Linked DNA regions of Macaca fascicularis. The protein of the gene in region 6 interacts with the protein of the main gene of each other region in a pairwise test. Links are inferred from orthologs where the notes say so. Each region holds a gene or a part of one and is shown on either strand. Other genes may lie near its edges. The genes, in order: ENTREP1, ANKRD44, galectin-9B-like, PDLIM7, ATN1, WWP2 and RNF11.

What was found.
Region 1: the proteins of WWP2 (region 6) and ENTREP1 interact in binary tests that used the Homo sapiens proteins (3 or more experiments, as listed by UniProt). The link is inferred for Macaca fascicularis from reciprocal best matches to the Homo sapiens genes WWP2 and ENTREP1.
Region 2: the proteins of WWP2 (region 6) and ANKRD44 interact in binary tests that used the Homo sapiens proteins (3 or more experiments, as listed by UniProt). The two-hybrid records come from large-scale screens. The link is inferred for Macaca fascicularis from reciprocal best matches to the Homo sapiens genes WWP2 and ANKRD44.
Region 3: the proteins of WWP2 (region 6) and galectin-9B-like interact in binary tests that used the Homo sapiens proteins (3 or more experiments, as listed by UniProt). The link is inferred for Macaca fascicularis from reciprocal best matches to the Homo sapiens genes WWP2 and LGALS9B.
Region 4: the proteins of WWP2 (region 6) and PDLIM7 interact in binary tests that used the Homo sapiens proteins (3 or more experiments, as listed by UniProt). The link is inferred for Macaca fascicularis from reciprocal best matches to the Homo sapiens genes WWP2 and PDLIM7.
Region 5: the proteins of WWP2 (region 6) and ATN1 interact in a two-hybrid assay, tested with the Homo sapiens proteins (2 studies listed by BioGRID and IntAct). The link is inferred for Macaca fascicularis from reciprocal best matches to the Homo sapiens genes WWP2 and ATN1.
Region 7: the proteins of WWP2 (region 6) and RNF11 interact in binary tests that used the Homo sapiens proteins (3 or more experiments, as listed by UniProt). The link is inferred for Macaca fascicularis from reciprocal best matches to the Homo sapiens genes WWP2 and RNF11.

What each region holds. Positions count from the first base shown.
Region 1 is NC_088389.1:100,052,906-100,057,001, forward strand, and holds the start of ENTREP1 (endosomal transmembrane epsin interactor 1), read left to right. Parts: upstream 1-1,296; 5' UTR 1,297-1,369; coding exon 1,370-1,783; intron 1,784-4,096. UniProt on the Homo sapiens protein: Functions as an activator of the E3 ubiquitin protein ligase ITCH in the ubiquitination of the CXCL12-activated CXCR4 receptor. Thereby, triggers CXCR4 endocytosis and desensitization, negatively regulating the CXCL12/CXCR4 signaling pathway.
Region 2 is NC_088386.1:92,729,447-92,732,946, forward strand, and holds part of ANKRD44 (serine/threonine-protein phosphatase 6 regulatory ankyrin repeat subunit B), read right to left. Parts: intron 2,521-3,500; coding exon 2,378-2,520; intron 1,283-2,377; coding exon 1,070-1,282; intron 1-1,069. UniProt on the Homo sapiens protein: Putative regulatory subunit of protein phosphatase 6 (PP6) that may be involved in the recognition of phosphoprotein substrates.
Region 3 is NC_088390.1:36,110,016-36,113,515, forward strand, and holds part of galectin-9B-like, read right to left. Parts: intron 3,048-3,500; coding exon 3,012-3,047; intron 2,497-3,011; coding exon 2,446-2,496; intron 1,812-2,445; coding exon 1,770-1,811; intron 1,315-1,769; coding exon 1,226-1,314; intron 1,075-1,225; coding exon 912-1,074; intron 545-911; coding exon of another isoform or gene 512-544; exon of another isoform or gene 1-511.
Region 4 is NC_088380.1:184,426,789-184,429,079, forward strand, and holds the end of PDLIM7 (PDZ and LIM domain protein 7), read right to left. Parts: intron 1,281-2,291; coding exon 1,160-1,280; intron 1,073-1,159; coding exon 957-1,072; intron 821-956; coding exon 734-820; 3' UTR 501-733; downstream 1-500. UniProt on the Homo sapiens protein: May function as a scaffold on which the coordinated assembly of proteins can occur. May play a role as an adapter that, via its PDZ domain, localizes LIM-binding proteins to actin filaments of both skeletal muscle and nonmuscle tissues.
Region 5 is NC_088385.1:7,869,840-7,874,107, forward strand, and holds the start of ATN1 (atrophin-1), read left to right. Parts: upstream 1-1,468; 5' UTR 1,469-1,630; coding exon 1,631-1,657; intron 1,658-1,782; exon of another isoform or gene 1,783-1,801; coding exon 1,802-1,939; exon of another isoform or gene 1,940-2,017; intron 2,018-2,088; coding exon 2,089-2,202; intron 2,203-3,153; coding exon 3,154-4,268. UniProt on the Homo sapiens protein: Transcriptional corepressor. Recruits NR2E1 to repress transcription. Promotes vascular smooth cell (VSMC) migration and orientation. Corepressor of MTG8 transcriptional repression.
Region 6 is NC_088394.1:65,839,996-65,844,064, reverse strand, and holds the start of WWP2 (NEDD4-like E3 ubiquitin-protein ligase WWP2), read right to left. Parts: upstream 2,801-4,069; 5' UTR 2,189-2,800; coding exon 2,156-2,188; intron 1-2,155. Other genes in the region: NQO1 (NAD(P)H dehydrogenase [quinone] 1), read left to right, coding at 2,896-2,902. UniProt on the Homo sapiens protein: E3 ubiquitin-protein ligase which accepts ubiquitin from an E2 ubiquitin-conjugating enzyme in the form of a thioester and then directly transfers the ubiquitin to targeted substrates.
Region 7 is NC_088375.1:183,468,895-183,471,601, forward strand, and holds part of RNF11 (RING finger protein 11), read right to left. Parts: intron 1,196-2,707; coding exon 1,026-1,195; intron 88-1,025; coding exon 1-87. UniProt on the Homo sapiens protein: Essential component of a ubiquitin-editing protein complex, comprising also TNFAIP3, ITCH and TAX1BP1, that ensures the transient nature of inflammatory signaling pathways. Promotes the association of TNFAIP3 to RIPK1 after TNF stimulation.

The DNA.
Region 1 (4,096 bases), on a different chromosome or scaffold from region 6:
CAGTCTGTAAAGGAAGTCCTAGGCACCATTAATGACATGTGCTTTAATAATTTAAGAAGTGTATATGTAAACTTGGGCACATTGACAGTATATCACATTGTGGATTAAAGTGTAACGACCAATATAAATACAGCTTCCACAAACAGAGTATAAAAACTGACACACACTTTTCTTGGTTTATTGGGTGGGAGGATGTTAAATACCTTAGGATAAGATAAGTTTTCTAATACTGGAACTGACTAACTGCCAAGAACACTGCTGTGGTTCTTATCAGGAAAAAAAGTCTATTATAATCATTTTAGGTACGAAACTTTCTACGCATTAGAATTCTTCCAAGGTGAAAAGATATTACTAAGGGAATTCATTTTGCAAAGAGGAATCATCTTTTTTTTTTTCTCTAAAGATTTTTCATATATTACCAAAATAGTTTAGGATTTTATTAGGATATTTCCTCGGAAGTTTGGGGGTTCCGTGTTCTACCAGGTGATGCCTAATAGATGCCTGATACCGCTCATGAGTCAATAAGAGGAGGATAGAGCGTAATCCTTGCCATGCGCTCCGGGCTGCCCCGGGTACTTTCTTTACGGATGCTGGATGCTTCCAAGGTAACCCAGTCCTTTCATTCCCGCTCCTACCGAGATGCCGGGAAAGCATTCCCGGGCTGATGCGGGGTAGGCAGGTCCTGCGCCCTGCGAGCCGTAACTGCGCTCGGCGTCGTCCTTCCCGAAGTCCTTGGCTTACGCCTCTTCCCATCGAGTCGCCCCAAAGCCCCTCCTCCAGCCATCCCCCTCCTTGTGGGGGCAAAAGTTTAAGGGCGGGCTCCCTTCTCATTAAAGCGCGCCGGGGCCTCTTTAGTGGCTGGACTGTAAACGGGTCCGAGGGTCCACGGCGCTTTCCTCGCTCTTCTCTAGCCCCAGCTCGGCGGGTGGGGACAGACGCTGAGACTGTCGGTGGCCGGCGCTGACGCGTCCTGGCCGTAGGGTGCCTCCCAGCTCGAGGGACTTATTTAAATATTTGGGGCAGGGCACCCTGCCAGGACCCCAGGAAGCCGGCGCAGATTTGGCGGGGACCCCGAGGCTGTGGCGCACTTGCCCCAGCGCAGCGCGAGCACTGGGTGCGCGTGGGTGAGAGTGAGGTTGCGCCCGGGGCCAGCAGGAGGCGGACCCGCCAGGCGGCAGGTGGGTGCGGCCGGCTGGAGCCAGGGCAGCGGCGGCGGCGGCAGCGGCGGCAGCAAGTGGTTGGGCCGTGCGCATTTCCTTCCCTCCCCCTCGGCCTCGGAGCCCGCCCGCGGTGCCCAGTGTGCGGCGCCTTCGGCTCCGCTCAGCGTCCCCTCCCCGCCACCGCCGGCCGCACCCTTCACGGTCCGTCCATGTCCCTGCCGGTGGTGCTCCCGGGCTCCTGCTGCCCCGTGGCTGGGCTTTCGGGTGGGCCGCAGACCGGGGGCCCGGGCGCCGCCGCCGCCGCCGCCCAGGAGCCGCCGCTGCCCCCGCTGCGGCCGCGCTGGCCCCGGGGCGCGCTGCAGCCCCCGTCGCGGCCTCGCTGCGCGGCCACCGCTGCCGCCGGGGTTCTGGCCGCGCCGCCGGCGCTCTCCTCCCGCCGGGCAGCCGCCGCCGCTGCCGCCGCGGCCCCGGGCTCTGCGCTGTTGCCCGCCCGCCCGCTGCTGTCACTCGGGCTGCTGCAGCTGATCCTGGGCTGCTGCATGGTGGCGCTCAGCTTCGGGGCGCTGTCGCTGAGCAGCTCTCCGCAGGTGAAGAACTCGTGCCCGTTCTGGGCCGGCTCCTCGGTGAGTACCGCGCGCGCGCCCCGCTAGCCCGGTCATCCCGTGGATAGGGGGCTCTGGTCGTACCCTTTCATTGTCCCTTAGTTGGCCTCCAGAGCTGCAGTTGGGGGAGCCTTAACGCCATCTGAAGTTTTTGGAGCCTGGAGAAAAATGTTCCGCGACGGTCGAGTTCAGGGGTGAATTGGGCTGCACCTGGGTAGTGTCTGTTGCGCGCAGGCTGAAGGATTTTATTGTCCCAGTTAAGCTAATAGAATTAAGCAAAGACACCCAGCTCTTTGGGAGATTGGAAGGACAGGGTGTGGGTGGCAGGAAAGTGGGAGGAAAGTGATTAAACTTCTTTTGGTCGTTGAATATTTGCTGCACTGACAACGTCTGTGCTGGGAGGGCAGGGATTTTGATCATTTTTGTTCACCGATGTATCAAGAATGCCTGGCACATAGTAGGAGTATTTGTGGGATGGGACAGTTTCGGACACATCGCTTGTTTTATTCTCCATTAAGACACACATAAATGTGAAATGTGTAGGGTGGCTCGATCCCCAGACGAGTTCAGGAGGTAATGAGAGGGTGTGTGTGAACTGGCGCTTGTACCTGGTCATTAAAGGAGGGCCTTAACCCCACTTGGTTCCTGGAGCCATGCAGGCTGCTGTGCAGAATTCAGTTTGTGAGAACCGGGACCTGTCATTAGGGACGAGCTGGCCAAAGGTCCTGGAGCACGCAGCAGCTAGCTAGAGATGTCTGCTCTCCAGGACCCACTCCTCCAACCGGGAACGCTGAGCCTGGGGCCAAAGAGTGCCCAACTTCAGAGAAAAGCTGCTGCCAGCCAGTATCTACGGACACCGGGTGGTCACTCCCCTCTACCTCCTAACAATCGCACAATGTCCAAGGCATGTAACCCCCTGAAGTTCTCTGGGTGTTGAGAGACTTGGAAACACATCTTTGTGGGATGACTATGGAAGATGAGTAAAGTAAATAACCTTCCTTTATATCTTTTTTTTTTTAATTTTTAATTTTTATTTTTTATTTTTAAGGGACGGAGTTTCCCCATGTTGCCCAGGCTGGCTTCCAACTCCTGAGCTCAAGTGATTCTCCTGCCTCGGCCTCCCAAAATGTGGGGATTAGAGGCATGAACCACCACAGCCGGCCGTAAATAACCTTTCTATGAACTCACTGTGTAAATCTGAAAGTCTAGCAATGCTGCTAGTTTTTAGTAAGATCTGTAATCAGTGTATGTCCTGAATGGTAAGAACTGCTTTTGCAGTTTCACACATACGGCAATTCAAGACCAAACTGAAAAAAAGGACTCGAAGAACTAGTTGAACCCAAAGTAATTGTTTAAATAAGAACATTAGGTTCCTTGAGACTCGCCTGAAATTGTATACTTCATCCAGTGCCAATTTGCTTTCCTTTTGAAATACTTTCATGTTGAATGATCTTATTGGGGTACATGCTGTGCTGTGGTGAGGGAAGACCACGATTTGTGCCTCATGTAGAAAAAATGCCACCCTAGTGGCCCTGCCTGTGGGCTCTGCCGCTGGCCTCCATGAGTGTTCAGGAAAACTCCAGAAGGATGGATATTCCAGATGGGGTAGGAATTAGACCTGTTATGCTACCTATTCTACTTGTCTGACTAAATCCAGCCAAAGAGTGGGTGCATTTCGTTTCTCTAAATACTATGGGCCAGTAATAATCTTGCATATATTTTTAGGAATTTGCTCTTCATAAAATCGTGATCTATTGTCTTCTCAAACATAGCTAGTTTAGAATTATTAAAAACTATTTTTTGTCTTATAAAATTAAAAGCTGATATCATTTACTATTGTGAATCATTTCAGAGGTAAATGCACTTAGATATCAGTCAAGCCACAGTTGAATTTGATGAAGTACCAAAAAAAAAAAAAAGAAGAAAAGAAAAGAAAAAAGGCCTTCAACCAGAAGGTGAAGGTTAATACTCCTGGTCTGGGCCGGGCGCGGTGGCTCATGCCTGGAATCCCAGCACTTTGGGGGGCCGAGGCGGGCGGATCACGAGGTCAGGATATCGAGACCATCCTGGCTAACACGGTGAAACCCCGTCTCTACTAAAAAATACAGAAAAAAAAAAAACTAGCCGGGCGAGGTGGCGGGCGCCTGGAGTCCCAGCTACTCGGGAGGCTGAGGCAGGAGAAAGGCGTGAACCCGGGAGGCGGAGCTTGCAGTGAGCCGAGATCGCGCTGCTGCACTCCAGCCTGGGCGACAGAGCCAGACTCCGTCTCAAAAAAAATAAAAAAATAAAAAAATAAAATAAAATAAAATAAAATAAATAGATAAATACTCCTGG
Region 2 (3,500 bases), on a different chromosome or scaffold from region 6:
AATTTGAGGAATAAAGGAATGATTGTGATGACCAGCTCAGTGCTACATCACTGAAGCCACTATTTGGGGTTTGCTTTAAGAAGGTATTGGCCAGGCACAGTGGCTCACACTTGTAATCCCAGCACTTTGGGAGGCTGAGGCAGGTGGATCACTTGAGGCCAAGAGTTTGAGACCAGCCTGGCCAACATGGTGAAACACGATCTCTACTAATAACACAAAAAATTAGCTGGGCATGGTGGTGGGTGCCTGTAATCCCAGCTACTGGGGAGGCTGAGGCAGAAGAATCGCTTGAACCCAGGAGGCAGAGGTTGCAGTAAGCTGAGATCGCGCCATTGCATTCTAGCCTGGGTGACAAGAGCAAAATTCCGTCTCAAAAAAAAAAAAAAAAAGAAGAAGAAGGTATCTGAGAAGCTCTAAACCCACACTGGAGTTGGAAACAGGCCCACAATCATTATTAGGCCTCCCTTTGAATTCTTAGCAGCACTGCTCTATCAGCTCAACATTCACTTCAGTATTAGCTTCTGGGCCAAGTCAACATCCTAGAGATCCAGTATTTGTCCTGACACATTCACTAAGCTAACAAGAACACACGGCTGGAGCCTTGGTACCTCTCAGCTGATACCACCACTCCTGGATAAAAATAACACAACCTGTTTTTTTGTTTTTTTGAGATGGAGTCTTGCTCTGTTGCCCAGGTTAGAGTGCAGTGGCACAATCTCAGCTCACTGCAACCTCCGCCTCCCGGGTTCAAACAATTCTCTGCTTCAGCCTCCCGAGTAGCTGAGATTACAGGCACCCGCCACCACGCCTGGCTAATTTTTGTATTTTTAGTAGAGATGGTGTTTCCACCATCTTCGCCAGGTTGGTCTTGAACCCCTGACCTCATGATCCACCCACCTCAGCTTCCACACAACTTTTTTTATGGCCTCCAAATCCAGGACAAGGCTGTGTGAGTCAAAGTGCTCAGGGTTCCAACTCACTAAAACATGGTATCATTTGCAGCAGTTGATTTTGCTCAAATAGAAGCTCAATGCAAAGGCATTCAACACAGAGACCAAGAGTGTCATACCTGAATGTTAACATCTGCCCCGTTGTTTACTAACAATTCAAGACACAAAGCACCATGAGTGGAGGCAGCAGCAAAATGCAAAGGGGTGAACCCATTATTGTTTGGCTGGTTCACGTTAGCACCGTAGTCAATCAACTCGTTAACCACAGCATCCTGTCCATTGTAGCAGGCAATGTGAAGCGCTGTATTTCCATAGACATTGATTTCATCAATCTGCAAAAGAGTCCAACACAGGGTGATTCAAGTCATTGGAGCCAGTTTACTCCATTTTCCACAAAAAGCATAATTGCTGTGGCTAGAGAAAGGAAATAGCCATCCGTCAATATAATTGTTCAGAGCTTACTCTTGCCCCAGCGTGGTCATCTTGGGAATGCTTGTCACCCCATGTAAAGATCAGCAAAACGTTAATGTGGCAAAAAATGAACTGGAGAGAGAGAAGTTTCATCCTGGGGAGAGGTATTTTTCAGCTAACAAAGGGATAGAAGGTGAAGGGCAAAGCTGCTTTCAAAACACCAAAAGAGAAGTAAATCAGAAGAGAACAAAAAGAGTCCCACACTCTAGGGTTGGGGCACAGCAAACCTCAAGAAATGGTAGTGGATAGCAGGTAGTGGCTGCGGAGATGGCAGGAGAGGTGGCTGTGGAGCCTAAACACAGAAGGCAGGTCAGAACCTAATATCTGTTTTGCTCTGGAGCCTGACACCTCACCAGGTTCCATTTTAGTAGCAGAGCAGTGGTGCCGTCAGGAGGTGTGTTTCGTCCATGGCCCCCTATTGCTTTCTGAGACCTGCCCTGGGTGCCTGGTTTCATCATTATGGTTGTATAGCAACTTGGTTTTCCTTTCCTAGGGGACAGGATGTTCCAGCCTCACCACTGCTCCTGTTCTACCAGCAGAAGGAGAATGCAGCAGTCCGACTTCTCCAGCTCAAGAACAGACATTGCTGATGTTTGTCTCTGCCATTTATTCATTCATTTCTGCTGTAAGTCATGACTTAGAAGGCTACATTTGGAAGGTGGGATGCAGAACCTTGGCCAGTCTTTAAAAACAACTGGTTAATAAATATTACATAGAATCTATATGTCTATATATTTATCTATGTTGATATAGAAAGTTATTCAGTTTCCAGTTTTCCTCTGCTTAGTGTATGCCCCCACTGCCCTTTACCAGTTGCCCACAAAATCTTAAAAAGACAGGATGCTAGAAAACAACTCCCCTGCCCTTGAATTAAAGTGCAAACAGGATTTAACTTTAGAATAACAGAAATCTCACAAATACACAGGCCATGCAGTGATGCATTCATTATAGCTCACCTCCACCCCCAGGTTCAGGAGATGCTTGACAACATTGATCTGTCCATTGGAGGCCGCAGCATGCAGAGGGGTATAACCCTTCTTATCCTTACAGGTCACTTCTGCGCCATGGTTAATGAGCAATGCCACAACATCCAGGTGGCCTTTACAAACAAAGCAGCAGAAAACATCGTTAACCTTTATAGGACAATTTGCTGATTCATTTCACCTAAATTATCACCATTAGCTTTTATTGCCACCAGTATTTTGCTGAGTTATTTGTAAAAACTGGAAAATATTCATGGCAGCTATTCAACAAATATTTATTGAGTACCTCCTATAGTCAGGCATAATGTAAATGCTGTGGGAAGAAAAAAGATGATTCATATGAGCCTTCTCTTCAAGGAGATCTAGGTGATGCCTGTTACCATGCTAATGAATAATGGTGAGGTTTTGCCAAGACATCAGTAGAGAGCCTTAAAAAATGTTGTGTTAAAATGAAAGCAATGCTTTTGAAAACAATTGCCATTCCTCACTGAAAAGTTTAACAATGACAATTCAGTTAGGAAAAACTGATAAAAGAAAAAAAATAATGAAAATGACCATAGATTACTGTTTAATCATACAAAATTACTACTGCTTAACTGTATTTGGACCCACAAAAATGGCAATTTCATATGGCTCAACTTAAAAGTATCCTCATGAATTAGAGGCCAAACAGAAAACCCTTCTAGTTTTAGCTCCTGTTAGCATTCTTTTCTACAATATTTTACTCTGTTCCATAATTCACCATATATAGAATTAGCCTGCACAACATGGTGAAATCCTGTCTCTACTAAGAATACTCTACTAAAACCCTGTCTTTACTAAAAACTTAGTTGGGTGTGGTGGCACACGCCTGTAGTGCCAGCTGTTCAGGAGGCTGAGGCACGAGAATCGTTTGAACCTGGGAGGCGGAGGCTGCAGTGAGCCGACATAGCACCACTGCACTCCTGCCTGGGCAACAGAGCAAGACCCTGTATCAAAAAATAAATAAATAAACAAACAAACAAAAAAGCATATTTGACCTTTCTTTCAGCACTGAAGACTGTTCAGTGCTTCAGGATCACTGCTCTAAATGCGGCTGAAAATTGAAGGGTAGAAG
Region 3 (3,500 bases), on a different chromosome or scaffold from region 6:
CACAGAGTAGTTAAGTCACTTGCCCGAGGTCACACAGCTGTCCACAAATCAAAGAATGTTGCTCCCTGGCTTGAAACACTCCTTTGTGGCTTTTCACTGTGTTAAAATCCAAGCTCCTTTCCATGGCTGCAAAGCCCTACATCAGCCGTTTTCAACCCTGATTGCAGAGTATAATCACTTAAGGCATATTTTTAAAATGCGAATGCCCAGCTGACCGCCTCGCTGGCCTGGGCTGGGGCCCCAGCGCTGATATTTCCTTTGTAAGCTCCCTGGGTGGTTTGAATGTGTAGTCAGGGCGGACACGCCTGCCTGCTGTTCCTGGACAGGCCACACCCGTGCCTCTGCACGTTGGCCCTCGCTGCCCCTCCCAGGCTCGCTCTATCTCATCGCTCTGTTTTGCTTTGTGTGTGGCACTGTCGTTATCTGTGACAATCTGTCCATGCTTTACTTTCCTCGTTCCTTCCCCACCTAAACTGTAAACCCCCTGGAGGCAGGACCCGGTCTGCCTGCTTCATGACTGCGTCCCCAGCACGCGGGCTGCTTCCTGCACAAAGCGGGCCACAGGAAAATCATTGTTGAATGAATAAGTGAAGAAATGAAAAACACCTCCTTCTTGGATCTGATTTGACACTTACTGGCTGTGTGACCACAAGCAAGTAACCTGCACTTGTGAGTTTCTTTCCTCATCTGAAAAAGCAGATCCCAACACTTCCTTCATGTGGGATAGTAATAATAATAATAATAATGATAATAATAATAATAATAATAATTTGTTGGCCACCTTCTCTTCTTCTGGGCCCTCATCCCAGAGGCATCTGCCCCCATCCTGTTCAAGGCACCCCAGACCTCCTTTACCCCTCCCCCTGTGCACCCACAGGAGCCTCTCCGAGCTCCAGACTGCGGTGCCTCACCGAGAAGCTCTGGCCTCGGACGAAGGGCATTTTTCGGGGCAGACTTCGCTCCTCAGACCCCCAACAGTTGTTGATCTGGGTGTTGCGGACCACAGCGTTCTCATCAAAACGGGGGTTCAGGTGGAAGGCGATGTGGCTCCCAGAGCACAGGTTGATGTGGAACCTGGGGTGGGCGGCCCACCTGAAGCTTTATCCTCTGAGTTCTGAGCCCCATTTCCTCCCTGTCATCTGCAGCCTGCCCGAAGCCAGGGGAATGGCTGGAATGACCTTGAAAGGCTCTCTCTTCCCAGAGGTCACTGGAGCCCTTGCCTTACCTCTGAGCACTGGGCAGGACAGTGCCCGACAGGATGATGGACTTGGATGGATACAGTCCTCCCGGAATGGTGGTGACAAAAGGCATTGGCTGTGGGAAGAAGGGGGACAGAGCAGCCAGTGGCAGCCAGGGCAGCTGCCACACGGAAGGGGAGGACTGTACCAGTTCCCATGACTCTGGGCTGTCAGCTGAGAGGAAGCCCGCAATAGCTTTACTTGGTTCCCTAAAAGCCAAAGGAAAACTTTCCAGCGCTCCTCAAATTCATGGGCTTAGATTAGTGTCACAAAAGGAACTTTGGCCAAACACAACAAGACTCGTGGGATGAAAAGGGAGGGCCATGCAATGTGCTCACATTGACATGACAGTTTTAAGGTTGAAAGCTCCTCTCTACAGTCTTCTACTTCGCTGGGATGCTTTGAAGCCCTTCAGCTTACCAAAGGACCGCTTTTCATTTTTCAAGGCCAGTGGATACCCCTGCAGCGGCTCTTCACCCCCAGCCTGCCCACCACAAACAGAACCTTCGCCCTCCCTGAGAAGCCACTTACATAGGCGGGGTGGGGGTACATCACAGGTGGGAGGGCGGGAGTCTGTTGAAAAGAAACCAGGAAATTCAATGGGAGAGCACATGTGTGCACGAGCACTCACCCACGCGCACCCACGCATTCCAGAGGGGCCTCCACTGTGAGGCTGACCTCGTGAGGCTTTGGCCCTTGGACTCTCCCATCCACCTCCCTTTTCATGTTAGCCTTCCTGGAACTTCCTGCCGTGTTCCCGGACCCCACCACGGTCACCTGCCCCTCAACCTCTCCACAGGCAGCCCCACTAACGCTAAACTCCCGGCCTGATTTGCACCAGCAGGAGAAGAGCTTAAGCCTTTGATCAGGAGTGACATCCGGGGAACGTAGGATGCAGGGCCAGGAACCTCACATCCGGGTGCTGGGGCCACTGCACTCCCCACTTGGTGACAGGTGGACCAGTTTCCCTCCCGGTCTCTAGGGGACCTGCCTTTTCCACCACTGGATAAATCCTGCTTCTTGCAGAATCTCTGCTGTCCCAAGAACAGCTTTAGCCACATGTCACCTGAGCCAAGGACTCAGCCCCAGATGTCCCCATCCTCCTTGCTAAACCGCTTTCTTCCTGACTCTGGGGCTCTAGGGAGTTTAGTTCTTGGTGAAGGAGGACACTGTGCAGCTGTGAACTGGCCAGAACTTGTAGACTTACAGAGAACATCTGTCCAGGGGCGCTCTGCACCGTGTGGATGACTGTCTGGGTCTGGAGGAAAGAAACCAGGTCTCACCCAGGCTCTCCCATGTGAAGACCACCAGCTCCCACCAGAGGGCGCCACACGGCAGGCACCTCCAGGGGGCGTAATCAGCCCAATGGCCCCACAGACCCCACAGAGGGTGGGTCCAGCTGTTTCTTCTCTCAAGGGGATGAGGGAGGGCAAAGGTTAGAACCCTGGAGAAGACAGATGGGGACGCTGGTGGCTCTGGCCCATCTTTCCTCTCAGGGAAACGTCTCTCAGCCTAGCCTCCCTTTGCAGGTGGGAGAAGGGAATGTGGGACACGGTCTTCCGTGGCTGCCCACAGGCTGGCAACTCAGGTTGTTTCATCACGGCCAGCCAACCACATCCAACCCCCCACCTCGCCAGGCCGGGCAGACGGTCAAGGGCCTGGCCTCTGCCCTCCCCACTCCCAATGGGAGAGGCCCAATGCCTGGCCCCGCCTCCTCCATGAGCCCAGAAGAGCCAAAATGAAGAGGATCCAAAAAGAAAGCAAGAGACTTACAATGGGAGCCGGGTTGGCGGGCCGCACGCCGGGAGGCTGGAGGGGTGAGGAGAGTCAGAACGGTGGTTATGGCGGGCACCAGAGAACGGGAAGAGACAATGGCAGAACTCCAGGGAGGCTCTTGTGCTCAGAAATGCCTCCCCAGACACACCCGCCTCCCTCTTGCTCCCAAGCAAGCCTTCCTGAGCCCGTGGCCCCCAGATTTTTACCCCCAGGTGCACAGGGCTTTGGGGTTGGGGGGTAGGGTATCCCCATTGGTTCCTCCCGAGAGAGAGGAGGCTGGGTTTGATAGAGACCTCACTGCTTTCTGTAGCTCCCACAGCTAAGAGCGTTACTTCCAGTGCCATATCTCACCCGTAAGGTGAGAAGGGGTATTTGTTGAAGGCCTGCTGTGGGTCGATTCCTGGGCTTCAGTGCTTTCCAATGAGGGAAGCAGCCTCAGCTCCTGTGTTCCTGGTGAGGCAGTGAGGCTCAGAAAGATTAAGCAAC
Region 4 (2,291 bases), on a different chromosome or scaffold from region 6:
TGCCACCCAGGCTCGAGCGCAGCGGTATGATCTCAGCTCACTGCACTCTCCACCTCCCGGGTTCAAGCAATTTTCCCACCTTAGCCTCCTGAGTAGCTGGGATTACAGGCACGCCCCACCACATTCAGCTAATTTTGTATTTTTACCAGAGACGTTGTTTCTCCATGTCAGCCGGAGTGGTCTCAAACTCCTGACCTCAAGTGATCTGCCCGCCTTGGCCTCCCAAAGTGCCGGGATTACAGGCATGATCCACCACGCCCATCCTAACTACCCTTCTCTAACCTCCAAGCCAGGCCAGACCAGTGGCGTCCCTCATGTCTGTGGGCACCAGGCCTGGCACATGGGGTCCCGCCTATACCTCCTCCACTAACCATGAGCCTGCCACGTCCGCATCACGAGGGCCACCAAGATGGCCAGCCCAAGAAACCCCTCTTACTCTCCACCCTGCCACGTGACTCAAGTTCTACCCCTCCGGGTGCACAGGGGAACGGCACACAAGACACAGCTGGGTACAGGTTTATTGTGGCACTGGAGGTGAAAGGGGGCCGGTGTGGCCAGCACCGGTGTGCTGTGGTGGTGGAGGGAGTGGGGTGGGAGGATAAGGCGGGTGGGGCAGGGCTGGGGAACCCCAGGCTCGGGCCAGGAGCCGGGTTAAGGCAACCATTGCCAGCCCTACCCAGAAATGCCGGGCCATGGCTCTGGGGCCGCCGCGGCAGCTGTGGGCAGGAGGGGCTCACACGTGGGAGAAGGCATGGCTCTTGCAGAGGGGCCTGTCCTTCTTGGAGTAGAAGGTCTTTCCTTCCAGGTTGATCTGACATATCTAAGGACAGCAAAGACCCAGTCACATGGGGTTGGGGGCAGCAGTAGAGGCCCCTTCCCAGCTTCTCCTGCATCCCCCAGGCAATGAACAGAGGGCTGGTGGACTTGGGGCTGAGGCCAAGGCTCGGGGCTCTCACCGCACAGACGAAGCAGGTGTCATGCCAGCTGAAGCCCAGCGCCTCCAGGAAGCGGTCCCCAGCGTCGATCTTGAAGTCACAGCCATGGCATTTCGTGCCAAACATCTTCTCATAGTCTGAGGATGGGAGCAGAGAGGAAGGGGACCTGGATTCATGCCTGCCCCATGCACCATCCCTCCTCACCCTCATTGGCCAGCGGGTACCTCGCTCGCAGTAGGGCACGCCCTCCTCCATGTAGAAGGCCCTGTTCCGGATGGGCGTCTTGCAGGCGGCACAGGTGAAGCAGTGCACGTGCCAGGTCATCTTCAGGGCATGCATGATCTCCTGGAAGGAGCTGCCAGTCACTCGGCAGGCTCAGGCCCCTCCTGCCCTCCCCTGGGTCACGGGAACACAGGGCAGCTGGCCGCGGGCCCTGTTCCTTCTCATAGTAAACACTACATCTAACCGTTCAGGACTCCCATGCCTCCATCTCCAACTCCAAGATCTCTGAGTGGACGTCCACTGCGCCTTCAGACCTGCCATGTCCAGTACTCAGTTCCTGATCCCCTCGCCCCAAACCTCTCCTCCCACAGGCATCCCCGTAACACGGATGGCAACTCCATTCTCCCATTTGCTGCAGCCAAACACACCCTCCTCCCACACCCCACACCAGGTCCCCCAGGAAATCCAGTGGGGCCCACCCCCAAGGCATATCCAGATTCTGCGTGCTGCTCACAGCCTCCCTGATGTGAGGTGAGCCACAGCGATCTGGCCCCTGGGATCACACACAACTGGCCTACAGCTCCTCCCTCTGATCCCAGCTGCCGCAGCAGGCCCCTGCAACCCCTGCAACCCGAGACAGGCTGTATCCCCCTGCATGAAACCCCTTACCGCTTCCCATTTCTCCCAGCAAGAACCAAGCCCCATGCAGACGCTGGAGGCCAGCAGGTCTGACCTCGTTCCCACCTGTCTCCCCCACTGCTCTCCTTTGCGTTCTCACCTTGCCTTCGCACACTGGCCTCTTGCCTGAAATTGGCACACCCGGCACGCTCCTGTCCTGGGCTTGACACTGGCTGTCCCCTCTGCCTGGACTGCTCTGCCCCGGATATCTCAAGGCTCACCCCTCACCCCCTTCAAGTTTCCGCTCGAGTGCAGTCTTCTCCACGAGGTCCCACCCTGACCACACGAGTAGCAGCCAGCTGCCTTCCCTACACCACGCCCAAGCGCTTCTTGCTCTACTCTTTCCTGTTTTCCATAATGTGATCTAACATTACTTCCAGGCAGTCTACTTATTGCGCTTATTGCTTACTGTCTGCCTCTCCCCTCTTCTTCCAGCCAAAACGTAAGGCCCAGAAG
Region 5 (4,268 bases), on a different chromosome or scaffold from region 6:
TAAAGGTCAATCACAAGAAAAGTGCACACACGTATATATACGACATCAGTGGAAAGGAAGAAAAAATAAGAAAATACCATTTTTGCTCTCAGAAGATCTTACAATCAGTAATTTGGAGGGACTTGACACTTAGCAAGAAATACGAACAAGCGCAAATGAATATAGCTGGCTCTAGGGATTTGGATAAAGATAGATACCTGCCTACTTACTGATAGACAGATATGGATGGACTGGCTTGAGGAGCTGTGTAACCCCGTCTATACCAAGTAGGAGGACAGGCTTCAAAACTGGTAAATCTGTATTGTTTGCTCACGGATATTTTGAGTCTTTAATCATTCATGTGAAAACCCTGACTTTTCCTCTAGCCTTAGGGAGCTCAAGTACTAGAGAATGAGTCCTTTATGAGGCTCTCAAAAGTGAACTTCTACAATTTGGGGCTACCTAGGTTTAGTCTTGGGATTGGTAGGGCTGTGTTCCTTTGTATTATAGAATGGGACATTCTTCTTCTACCTACTCTGATGTGAGAAAAGATTCTTTTCATATCTCTGTGACTGATCTAGGCCTTCTGAGAATTCTCCCCACCAACTTCTGAGGAGAATATAGCAAAGTATAGAAGAAAGAGCATGGGCTTTGAAGTCACAGACGTGGGTTTGATTCTGGCTCTGTCACTGGTTCCTCACTGTGTGAGGTTGAGCTAGTCACAATCACCATCTTTGAGCCTCAGTTCCCTCACCTATATAATGAAGGTAATAATGCTTACCATTCAGGGTTGGTTGTAAATATTAAATGAAATCATGTGTGTGAAGGGCTTGATATAAAGAAGGTACTCAATAAATTAATACTTGAACGTCATTTTTTTTTTGAGACAGAGTTTCACTCTGTCACCCAGGCTGGAGTGCAGTGGCATGATCTCGGCTCACTGCAACCTCTGCTTCCCAGGTTCAAGTGATTTGCTTGCCTCAGCCTCCTGAGTAGCTGGGATTACAGGCACGCGCCACCACGCCTGGCTGGGTTTCACCATGTTGGCCAGGCTGGTCTTGAACTCCTGACCTTGCGATCCGTCCACCTCGGCCTCCCAAAGGGCTGGGATTATAGGCGTGAACCACCATGCCCCGCTCCATTTCTTTATGTTCCTTTGCAAGGCTCCGTGGAATGTGTGCGTTCACAAATATCCTTTAGGGATCATGAAGGGTCAAACTGTGTCATCTCCTGGATTGGAGCTTGTAGGTACATCTGAATTTTCTGCCCTCTACAGAGGTGAAAGAGATTATACTTTAAGCAGAATCTCCCTGCCTTTTAGATAGCTAAGGTGGCCCATGGGGCAAGCCAGCAATGTCTTGTGGTATCTGTACCTCTTGGCCTAAAGGCTTAGGGTTGGGCCGCTTGCTCAGTTCTCTGACAAGCGTAATAGTATTCCTTTGTGACTCTATTCTCCCAGTGGGAGACTCTGATGGTTTCCTTCTAACAGGTTTCACTGAAAACAGATCCTGCAAAAGTTCCAGGTGCCTATACTGGAAACTTGGAGATCCTGCTTCCCAGACCACAGCTGTGGGGAACTTGGGGTGGAGCAGAGAAGTTTCTGTATTCAGCTGCCCAGGCAGAGGAGAATGGGGTCTCCACAGCCTGAAGAATGAAGACACGACAGAATAAAGACTCGGTGAGTTAAAATGAGAGATGTGAAAGATGAGGGGCGGGGCAGGCAAGCTAGGAGGAAGGGTCTAGAGAAGAACAAATAATGTGCACCATAAAGTTAGCTGCAGTGTAAAGAACAGTGTTACCTACCTCCTTCCTCCTCCTGCAGATGTCAATGAGGAGTGGACGGAAGAAAGAGGCCCCTGGGCCCCGGGAAGAACTGAGATCGAGGGGCCGGGCCTCCCCTGGAGGGGTCAGCACGTCCAGCAGTGATGGCAAAGCTGAGAAGTCCAGGCAGACAGCCAAGGTATTCTGTCCTCAGGTCCTCCCACAGGATGCCCAGGCACTGGGGCTGAGGGGGTGTGTGTGTTGTCGGGGGAACTTCCTGTTTGGCAGAGGGTAACGGTGAAACTTGGGAGGTAGGGAAAAGACAGGAATTTTCTTTCTCTCTAACAGAAGGCCCGAGTAGAGGAAGCCTCCACCCCAAAGGTCAACAAGCAGGGTCGGAGTGAGGAGATCTCAGAGAGTGAAAGTGAGGAGACCAATGCACCAAAAAAGACCAAAACTGAGGTGGGAGACCCTTGTCGCCATCCTGACCCATCTTGTGATCATTCTTTTCTCAGATTTCCTTATGCTCACTATTCTTAGCTGGATCTCTCCTGGGACATAAGAGAAAGGCCAGATCATAGTGCTTATGAGAGCAGTTCTGTCTCTAATATGCCAGAGAGAGTCTTAGAACTTTGACAGACCACCAGATGACCTGGCAGGGCCAAAGGGGACCAGAAGAGTTGGGGGATTCTAGTCTCTGGGTGAGAAGTCTTAGTGGGAGGAACAAATAAATCTTAAGGAAAATGCAGAAGTGGTCTTTCTTTTTTATTGTTTTTTTTGGTTTGTTTTTGAGACAGAGTTTCGTTCTGTCACCCAGGCTGGAGTACAGTGGCACAATCTCAGCTCATTGCAACCTCCGCCTCCTGGGTTGAAGCAGTTGTGCCTCAGCCTCCCGAGTAGCTGGGATTATAGGCATGAGCCACCACGCCCGGCTAATTTTTGTAGTTTTAGTAGAGATAGGGTTTCACCATGTTGGCCAGGCTGGTTTGGAACTCCTGGCCTCAAGTGATCCTCCTGCTTCAGCCTCCCAAAGTGCTGGGATTACAGGTGTGAGCCTCTGTGCCCGGCCAGAAGTGGTCTAAGAACCAAGGGCTTGGGGGATGGAGGATGGTTAAAGTGGTGGTTATGAGATGGTGGAAGACAGGGATTTGGAGTCAGCTGTGGGTAAAGACAAGGTGCTTGAGATGGATCCTTGAGGAAGGAATAGGGTTTTATAGGAGAGAAACAAGACTGGCTGCTAAGGAGCAGCCAAGAATGTGGGGAAAGTGGGAAATCCCCAGATGGCAAGAGGTACTCACCACGTCACAGTACAACAGTGTGCTGTGAGGGGAAATGATTTTATGCAAGACAGGCCCTAAATCTCAGGGAAGCAGGAAAGGAAAAGAGAAAAAATGAGGCTTCCCTTTTCTACAGCAGGAACTCCCTCGGCCACAGTCTCCCTCTGATCTGGATAGCTTGGATGGGCGGAGCCTTAATGATGATGGCAGCAGCGACCCTAGGGATATTGACCAGGACAACCGAAGCACGTCCCCCAGCATCTACAGCCCTGGAAGTGTGGAGAATGACTCCGACTCATCTTCTGGCCTGTCCCAGGGCCCAGCCCGCCCCTACCACCCACCTCCACTCTTTCCTCCTTCCCCTCCACCGCCAGACAGCACCCCTCGACAGCCAGAGGCTAGCTTTGAACCCCATCCTTCTGTGACACCCACTGGATATCATGCTCCCATGGAGCCCCCCACATCTCGAATGTTCCAGGCTCCTCCTGGGGCCCCTCCCCCTCACCCACAGCTCTATCCTGGGGGCGCTGGTGGAGGAGTTTTGTCTGGACCCCCAATGGGTCCCAAGGGGGGAGGGGCTGCCTCATCAGTGGGGGGCCCTAATGGGGGTAAGCAGCACCCCCCACCCACTACTCCCATTTCAGTATCAAGCTCTGGGGCTAGCGGTGCTCCCCCAGCTAAGCCACCTAACACTCCGGTGGGTGGTGGGAACCTGCCTTCTGCTCCACCACCAGCCAACTTCCCCCATGTGACCCCGAACCTGCCTCCCCCACCTGCCCTGAGACCCCTCAACAATGCCTCAGCCTCTCCCCCTGGCCTGGGGGCCCAACCACTACCTGGGCATCTGCCCTCTCCCCATGCCATGGGGCAGGGTATGGGTGGACTTCCTCCTGGCCCAGAGAAGGGCCCGACTCTGGCTCCTTCACCCCACTCTCTGCCTCCTGCTTCCTCTTCTGCCCCAGCACCCCCCATGAGGTTTCCTTATTCATCCTCTAGTAGTAGCTCTGCAGCAGCCTCCTCTTCCAGTTCTTCCTCCTCTTCCTCTGCCTCCCCCTACCCAGCTTCCCAGGCATTGCCCAGTTACCCCCACTCTTTCCCTCCCCCAACAAGCCTCTCTGTCTCCAATCAGCCCCCCAAGTATACTCAGCCTTCTCTCCCATCCCAGGCTGTGTGGAGCCAGGGTCCCCCACCACCTCCTCCCTATGGCCGCCTCTTAGCCAACAGCAATGCCCATCCAGGCCCCTTCCCGCC
Region 6 (4,069 bases):
GCTGGGATTATAGGCCTGAGCCACTGTGCCTGGCCACTAAGTTTCTTTTTTTTTTTTTCTTTTGAGACAGGATCTCCCTCTGTCACCCAGGCTGGAGTGCAGTGGCGCGATCTCGGCTCACTGCGACCTCAGATGTCTGTCTTTACCACTGTGTAGTAACAAATTTGGCCAGGAGTGGTGGCACATACCTGTAACTCCAGTACTTTGGGAGATCAAAGCGCGAGGATCACATGAGCCCAGGAGTTTGAGAGCAGCTTGGGCACCATAGTGAGACCCTGTGTCTACCAAAAATAAATAAATAAAGATCAGCCAGGCATGGTGGCATGCACCTGTTGTCTCAGCTACTCAGGAGGCTGGGGCAGGAGGATTGCTTGACCCCAGAAGGTTGAGGCTGCAGTGAACTATCATCATGCCCCTGAGCCTCTAAATCCCAAATGATAGGAATGTCCATCTTATTCATTGTGGGCCTCTCAGACCACTCCTGACAGTTTATGCTAAATGAGATGACTTGGGGTGGGCCCCTATATAGTTCATGTTAACAAGATGACTGAGGATGGGAGCTGGTCATGCTGCAAACCAAAGACCGAATATGACACTCGAGGTTTGGGGCTTTGAGCCCCACCTCCAGATGGGTTGGGGAGACTGGAGATCGAGAAAACAATCTCACTAGAAGAGTGGGAGATAGACTAGCCAGCACACTGCGGCCTCGATCTGAATCAGCTCAGGTCTTTCCAGACACTAGTGACATTTGGCTATCTAAATTTAAATTAATTAAGGCCACGCGCAGTGGTACATGCCTGTAATCCTAGCACTTTGGGAGGCCGAGGTGGGTGGATCACCTGAGGTCAGGAGTTGGAGACCAACCTGGCCAACATGGTGAAACCCATCTCTACTAATAATACAAAACGTGGCTGAGTGTGGTGGCACATGCCTGTGGTCCTAGCTACTCGGGAAGCTGAGGCACAAGAATTGCTTGTGGAGATGGAGATTGCAGTGAGCCAAGAACCTGCCGCTACACTCCAGCCTGGGCAACACAGCAAAACTCTGCCTCAAAAAATAAAGTTTTAAAAAACCAATGTAATTAAAATTAAAACTTCACTTCCTCAGTCCACTGGCCACTTTTTTTTTTTTCCTATTTTTTTAAGTGCACCACTGCGGCCGTGAACTCCTGGGCTCAAGTGATCTTTTCCCCTTAGATCCTGAGTAGCTGGGACCACAGGCGCCTGCCACCACGCCTGGCTGCTGGCCACATTTCCAGTGCTCAATAGCTACTTGAAGCTTGCTGCTACCTTACTTGGGCAGCACAGATAGGAAAAGTTCTATTGGACAGGGCTGCCTAGCCCTTTTTTAAAAGGTCCTTTTATACTATTTTGTCAGATGGGGTCTCACTTTGTTGCTCAGGCTTATTGCAAACTCCTGGGCTCAAGTGATCCTCCTGCCTAGGCCTCCCAAAATAATTCGTAAATACACAGTCCTCTCTTGTTGCATCAAAATGAATGCAAAAATGTCATGATGGGGCCCGGCGCGGTAGCTCATGCCTGTAATCCCAGCACTTTGGGAGGCTGAGCTGCTAGGATCACCTAAAGTCGGGAGTTGGACACCAGTATTCTGGTACCTCCTTAACTTTTGCACTGGAGGGACAATGGAAGGGCCCTGTGTCATCCTCACCTTCCCCATCTGTAATTCTTGTGATGGTTCATTACCACTTTAAAGCTCTAGTTCTTTTTCCTTCATTGACATCTTTAACTTTTTCTTTATAGAGATTTTTTTTTGGAGACGGAGTCTCGCTTTGTCACCCAGGTGGGAGTGCAGTGGCTCGATCTCGATCCACTGCAACCTCCGCCTCCTGGGTTCAAGCGATTCTCCCTGCTCTGCCTCCCGAGTAGCTGGGACTACAGGCACCCGCCATCATGCCCGGCTAATTTTTGTATTTTTAGTACAGACAGGGTTTCCCCAGGTTGGCCAGGCTGGTCTCGAACTCATGACCTCAGGTGATCCGCCCACCTCAGCCTCCCAAAGTGCTGGGATTATAGGCATGAGCCACCGCGCCTGGCTCCGTTTTGGCTATTCTTTAATATGCCTCCCTATAACTGCTATCTCCACACCAGCCTTGCTTTAGCTCATGGGAAACAAAACCAATTAGTTCCCCCATTACCTGCCTTGAGGAGCAGGGGTGGTGCAGCGGCATGCACCCAGGGAAGTGTGTTGTATGGGCCCCCAAGTGCAGAATCTGAATCTTGCAAAGGAAGAAACAAATTCATCTCCACGGAACATGTCTCCCCAGTGCTCTCAGCCTTCCAAATCCACAGTCACAGTGACTCAGCAGAATCTGAGCCTGGGGCACCACAGTAATCTGCATCCGGCTTTTTTTCTGCTCCACTTCGTGCCAAGGCTCAAAGGGCAGGCCCACTCGATCCCTGGACTCTCTTGGGAACAACTTCCACCCTGCATCCCCTTGCACCTCAGGGCACAGTGCGCAGATGGGCTTGCCTTAGCCCCTCCAGCCAGATTTTTGAGGCCTCTGTCACACACCCCCACGAACCCCTCTTCCAGCCCCCAGAGACTTTTCTTGACTTCCACCAGTTGCTCAGGCGGGGCGGGTGGGAGTGGAGGGGCTCCTCCTTCACCCCCCAGGCTCCCTCCCTTCCTGGAGCTGCAGCCTTGGCATCCTCTAGCCCAGCACCTCAGGATACAGGCGTTGGGTCCCGCCCTTGTTGACGTCCAACTCAAATGAGCCGCGCAGGATATATGAGAGAGACTGCACCGCGCACCACACACACGACTCCTGCAAGGTTGCCGCTGGAGTCGCCCGGCCCAGTGAGAGCCTAGTCCCGGCCAGGGTCGCCCCGGCAAGCACGAGTCCAGCCAATCAGCGCCCTGGACTGCACCAGCGCCATGGTCGGTGAGTGCTGGAAAGGGCGAGGCGCTTGGTCTCCGGAGTCCTGGTGCCTGTGGAGGAGGTTGTATGGGTTTGGCCCTGAGTTTTGTTCCTTGAGTCAAAACCCACAAAGGGAAGAGATTAGGGTCCTGGGATGAGCCTTGATGGGACTCCGGGAGAAGGAGAGCTTCTGTTTGTATCCGGAGTTGTGGATCCTTCCTCACTCCACCCCCACGAACTCCAGTGGGCATTTAGGAGAAACCTGACCTTGGACGCAGGAATTCCCTCCAAAACTGGGGTCAGAAACTGGCCGCTGGAGGCCAAATCAGGCTTACGGTCACAGCCCATACCTCTTTCGGGCTATAGTATTTAAACCAATTTGAATTAAGTTGCAAACATTAAAATGGGTGATTTCACTTAAAAATGTGGATTCCGAGCTTCTGAAGAAAATGAGAATATCTGGTGATTGGTGGACAGGAGTGGAGGAAACCGATACCTTTAGTTTGACAGAGACCAGAACCGGCTCCAAGCTGCCAGGCTCAGGTTTTGTTGTTTTGTTTTGTATTGTTTTGTTTTGTTTGAGACTGAGCTTTGCTCTTGTCGCCCAGGCTGGAGTGCAATGGTGCTATCTCAGCTCACCGCAACTTCCGCCTCCCGGGTTCAAGCGATTCTCCCATCTCAGCCTCCCGAGTAGCTGGGATTACAGGAGTGCGCCACCATGCATAGCTAGTTTTAATATTTTTAGTAGAGACGGGGTTTCGCCATGTTGGCCAGCGTGGTCTCAAACTCCCGACCTCAGGTGATCCGCCCACCTCGTCCTCCCCAAGTGCTGGGATTACTGACGTGAGCAGCTGTGCCTGGCCTTGGGAGGTATTTTCCATTGAGGCCCTTGGATTAGGCAAACCTGATCAGCTCGTACAGGATCCGTTTCTAGTATTGGGTCCATTTCAGTGATAGAGCCTCCCCACTCGGCCATCAGCCCTAGGGGAACTTAGAGGTCAACCCAGCTCCACCCAAGGCATAAATAACCAGCTGAGACAACTGCAGGGACTGAGAGCTATTTCCCAAATAATCTCACTCTGAGACTGGACAGCGCTAAGATTTAGAAAGCTGTTGCCTCATCTGGGGCACAGTCCTGCGTTTTGTAATTTCTTTCCCTGTGAACCTGGTCCTGCCTCTAAAAATGCACCT
Region 7 (2,707 bases), on a different chromosome or scaffold from region 6:
TCTATACAGTCCAGGTGATAGATGTGCATGCACGGCAGAAATCGAATTGGGTCCCCATAAACAAAGTCCATCATACAGATCACACACCTGTTGGGAGCAATGGAGAGAAATCAGAAGGCATTTTCGGAAGTGTCCTATTCAGAAAACTGTTTAAATCCCATTAAAGACAGTGTTAATCTGAGTAACACATCAGAATGCTTTGCCTGTCATCTTATCACCAAAGCATGCAAACTGAATTTTTTCCTAATGTTGATCTATACACAATTTCTTATTTAAATCCCCCGAGAATTTGCAGGACTTAGGAGCAATCAACAGAGCAAAGAGAAATGGATTACATATGGATCAAGTTTACTGCTGTGCTTGTAAACAGCTACATACTATAGCAGATACCTTAAGGAGAATGGGATTATTTTAGGTAGAAAAGCATCAGTTAGATCAACTTTGTTTTTTTGCACTATTTAGTGTAATCCTGGACTAAGACAATTTTCATTTTAATAACTGTAAAACAGAAACACTAACTTCAGCCTACTTACTGGGTTGCTGAAAGTTAAAGCTCTCTTCACTAACTTTCTCTTTATTTATTAATTTAATTTAATTTTATTTTTTGAGACAGAGTTTCAAGTGATTCTCCCACCTCAGCCTCCCGAGTAGCTGGGATTACAGGCATGTGCCACCATGCCTGGCAAATTTTCGTATTTTTATTAGAGATGAGGTTTCACCATGTTGGCCAGGTTGGTCTTGAACTCCTGGTCTCAAGTGATCTGCCCACCTCAGCCTCCAAACATGCTGGGATTACAGGTGTGAGGCACTGTGCCCAGCCTGTGAAAATTTGTAATTACTATATAACATTCTCTTGCTAGTAGCCAGTAATAGAGCTATGAAAAAAAATTAAACATTCTCTTGCATTAAGCAAAGTGTTTCAACATATTAAATGTCTGACTTTCTAAAGTGCAGGAGAAAAGGCAAAATTTTCAAAAGCAACCTGAAAATAAAATTTTGAAATGTACAAATTAATTAAAACTTACTCCCGGATCTTTTTTTCTGATCCATCTCTTCCAGGGTCATAAACTCCTTTAGGCAGATGTTGTATAAGGCCTATTCTTTGAGCTATCCTAATTTGTTCCTCTTCAGTCAGCTGAGTTGCTAGCCGAGTCTGGCTAGGTGTTGGGTGGTAGACTGGAACTGGAACTTGTTCCTAAAATATTAAAATATGGAGGAAAAAGATTATTTTTTCAAAACCTTTTGAGGGCTTATTTTTTAGTCAGAGATAGAAGGGAAAGGGAGCCCTGGGAGGGCAGGAAGCTGGGCTAGTGTGTGGCTGTATTGACTGTGTGTTTCACCCTGCCTCAACTTCAGCTATTGGAACAAAACATACAACAAAACATTCTCATTCTGCCTAAAGGATATAAACACAAACATCACTGAAGAGCTGGCATGCAATGTTAAATGAACTATTTCCATGTGATAAGAGACTAGCCTGGACAACATAGCAAGACCCTATCTCTAAAAATAATTTGAAAAAAATTTTTTAATGGATTGGACTATGGCAAAAATAAATCTGAAAGTCATCTAAGACTCACTTTCCCATTTCATAGGACCAAGCTTGCCTACAGTCACATAATTGACAATACTGAAATTAGAATTCTACTGCTCCTAATCCAATGGATTTTTTACACAATTCATTCAAAGGAGTCATATGTATAACCCCCACCTTTTATTTGAGACAGGGTCTCCCTCTGTTGCCCAGGCTTAAATGCAGTGGCACAAACACAACTTACTATAAACTCAACCTCTCGGGCTCAAGCAATCCTCCAACCTCAGCCTCCTGAGTAGTGGGACCATAGGGGTAAGCCATGGTGCCTGGCCTATAATAATAATATTTAAAACTGAGCAACTCTGATGGAATGAAGCTGGGATGGAGTGTGGCCTAGGAGGGATGAGGCTCCCCATCCGCAAGCCCTCACCTTGGTTACCTTTGCAGAATCCTCAGAATCAACAGTCTGAAAAACACTACTATCTCAGAAGATGAGATTTTCAGTCTGAAGAATTAAATTATGAGATTTCAGTCTCCGCTCAGCTACTTACTGTGATTGCTTGGACCAAGTCCCTTAATGTATTTGAATAATGTATTTGAATAAAGCAGATAACAGCACCCACTTCAGAGAGCTGATACAGTCATGAGGTAACTAAGAGCTTTGTAAATGCCAATATTTGTAAATTATTCTATCTAACATCTCCCCATCGTCATGATTCTACTCATCATGATTCTCCGCTTTGCAGACTTTAAGCTAAGTGCTACTGTCCTTGGCTTTGGTCCTAACTTTCTGGCTTCTCTTTGAATACTACAAACTCTTAGCCTCTGTTGTGATCTCTGCCAGCTCTGAGTTCTTCGACCCTTGAATTACTATTTCCAGTCTAGACTAACTTCCTGAATCTTAGTCTCAGTCCTAGTTGACCAGTTTTGATGAACTGTCATCCACATGCAAACTGGGAACAAACTGGTTTAAGACTTTGGATGATATAAAGGGTCTCTTAAATCCTTGAATCTAACAAACAAAAATAACTAAATTGTTTTAGAGCAAATAAACGCCAACTATGGGTTTTTCAGAGGCTAGATTTCTTCAGTCTTGTGTCTCAGTCTCTTCACATATGTGTAGAGAATACAGAAAGCAGAACAGAAAAGGAAAGTTCTACTTTATGATGAAAC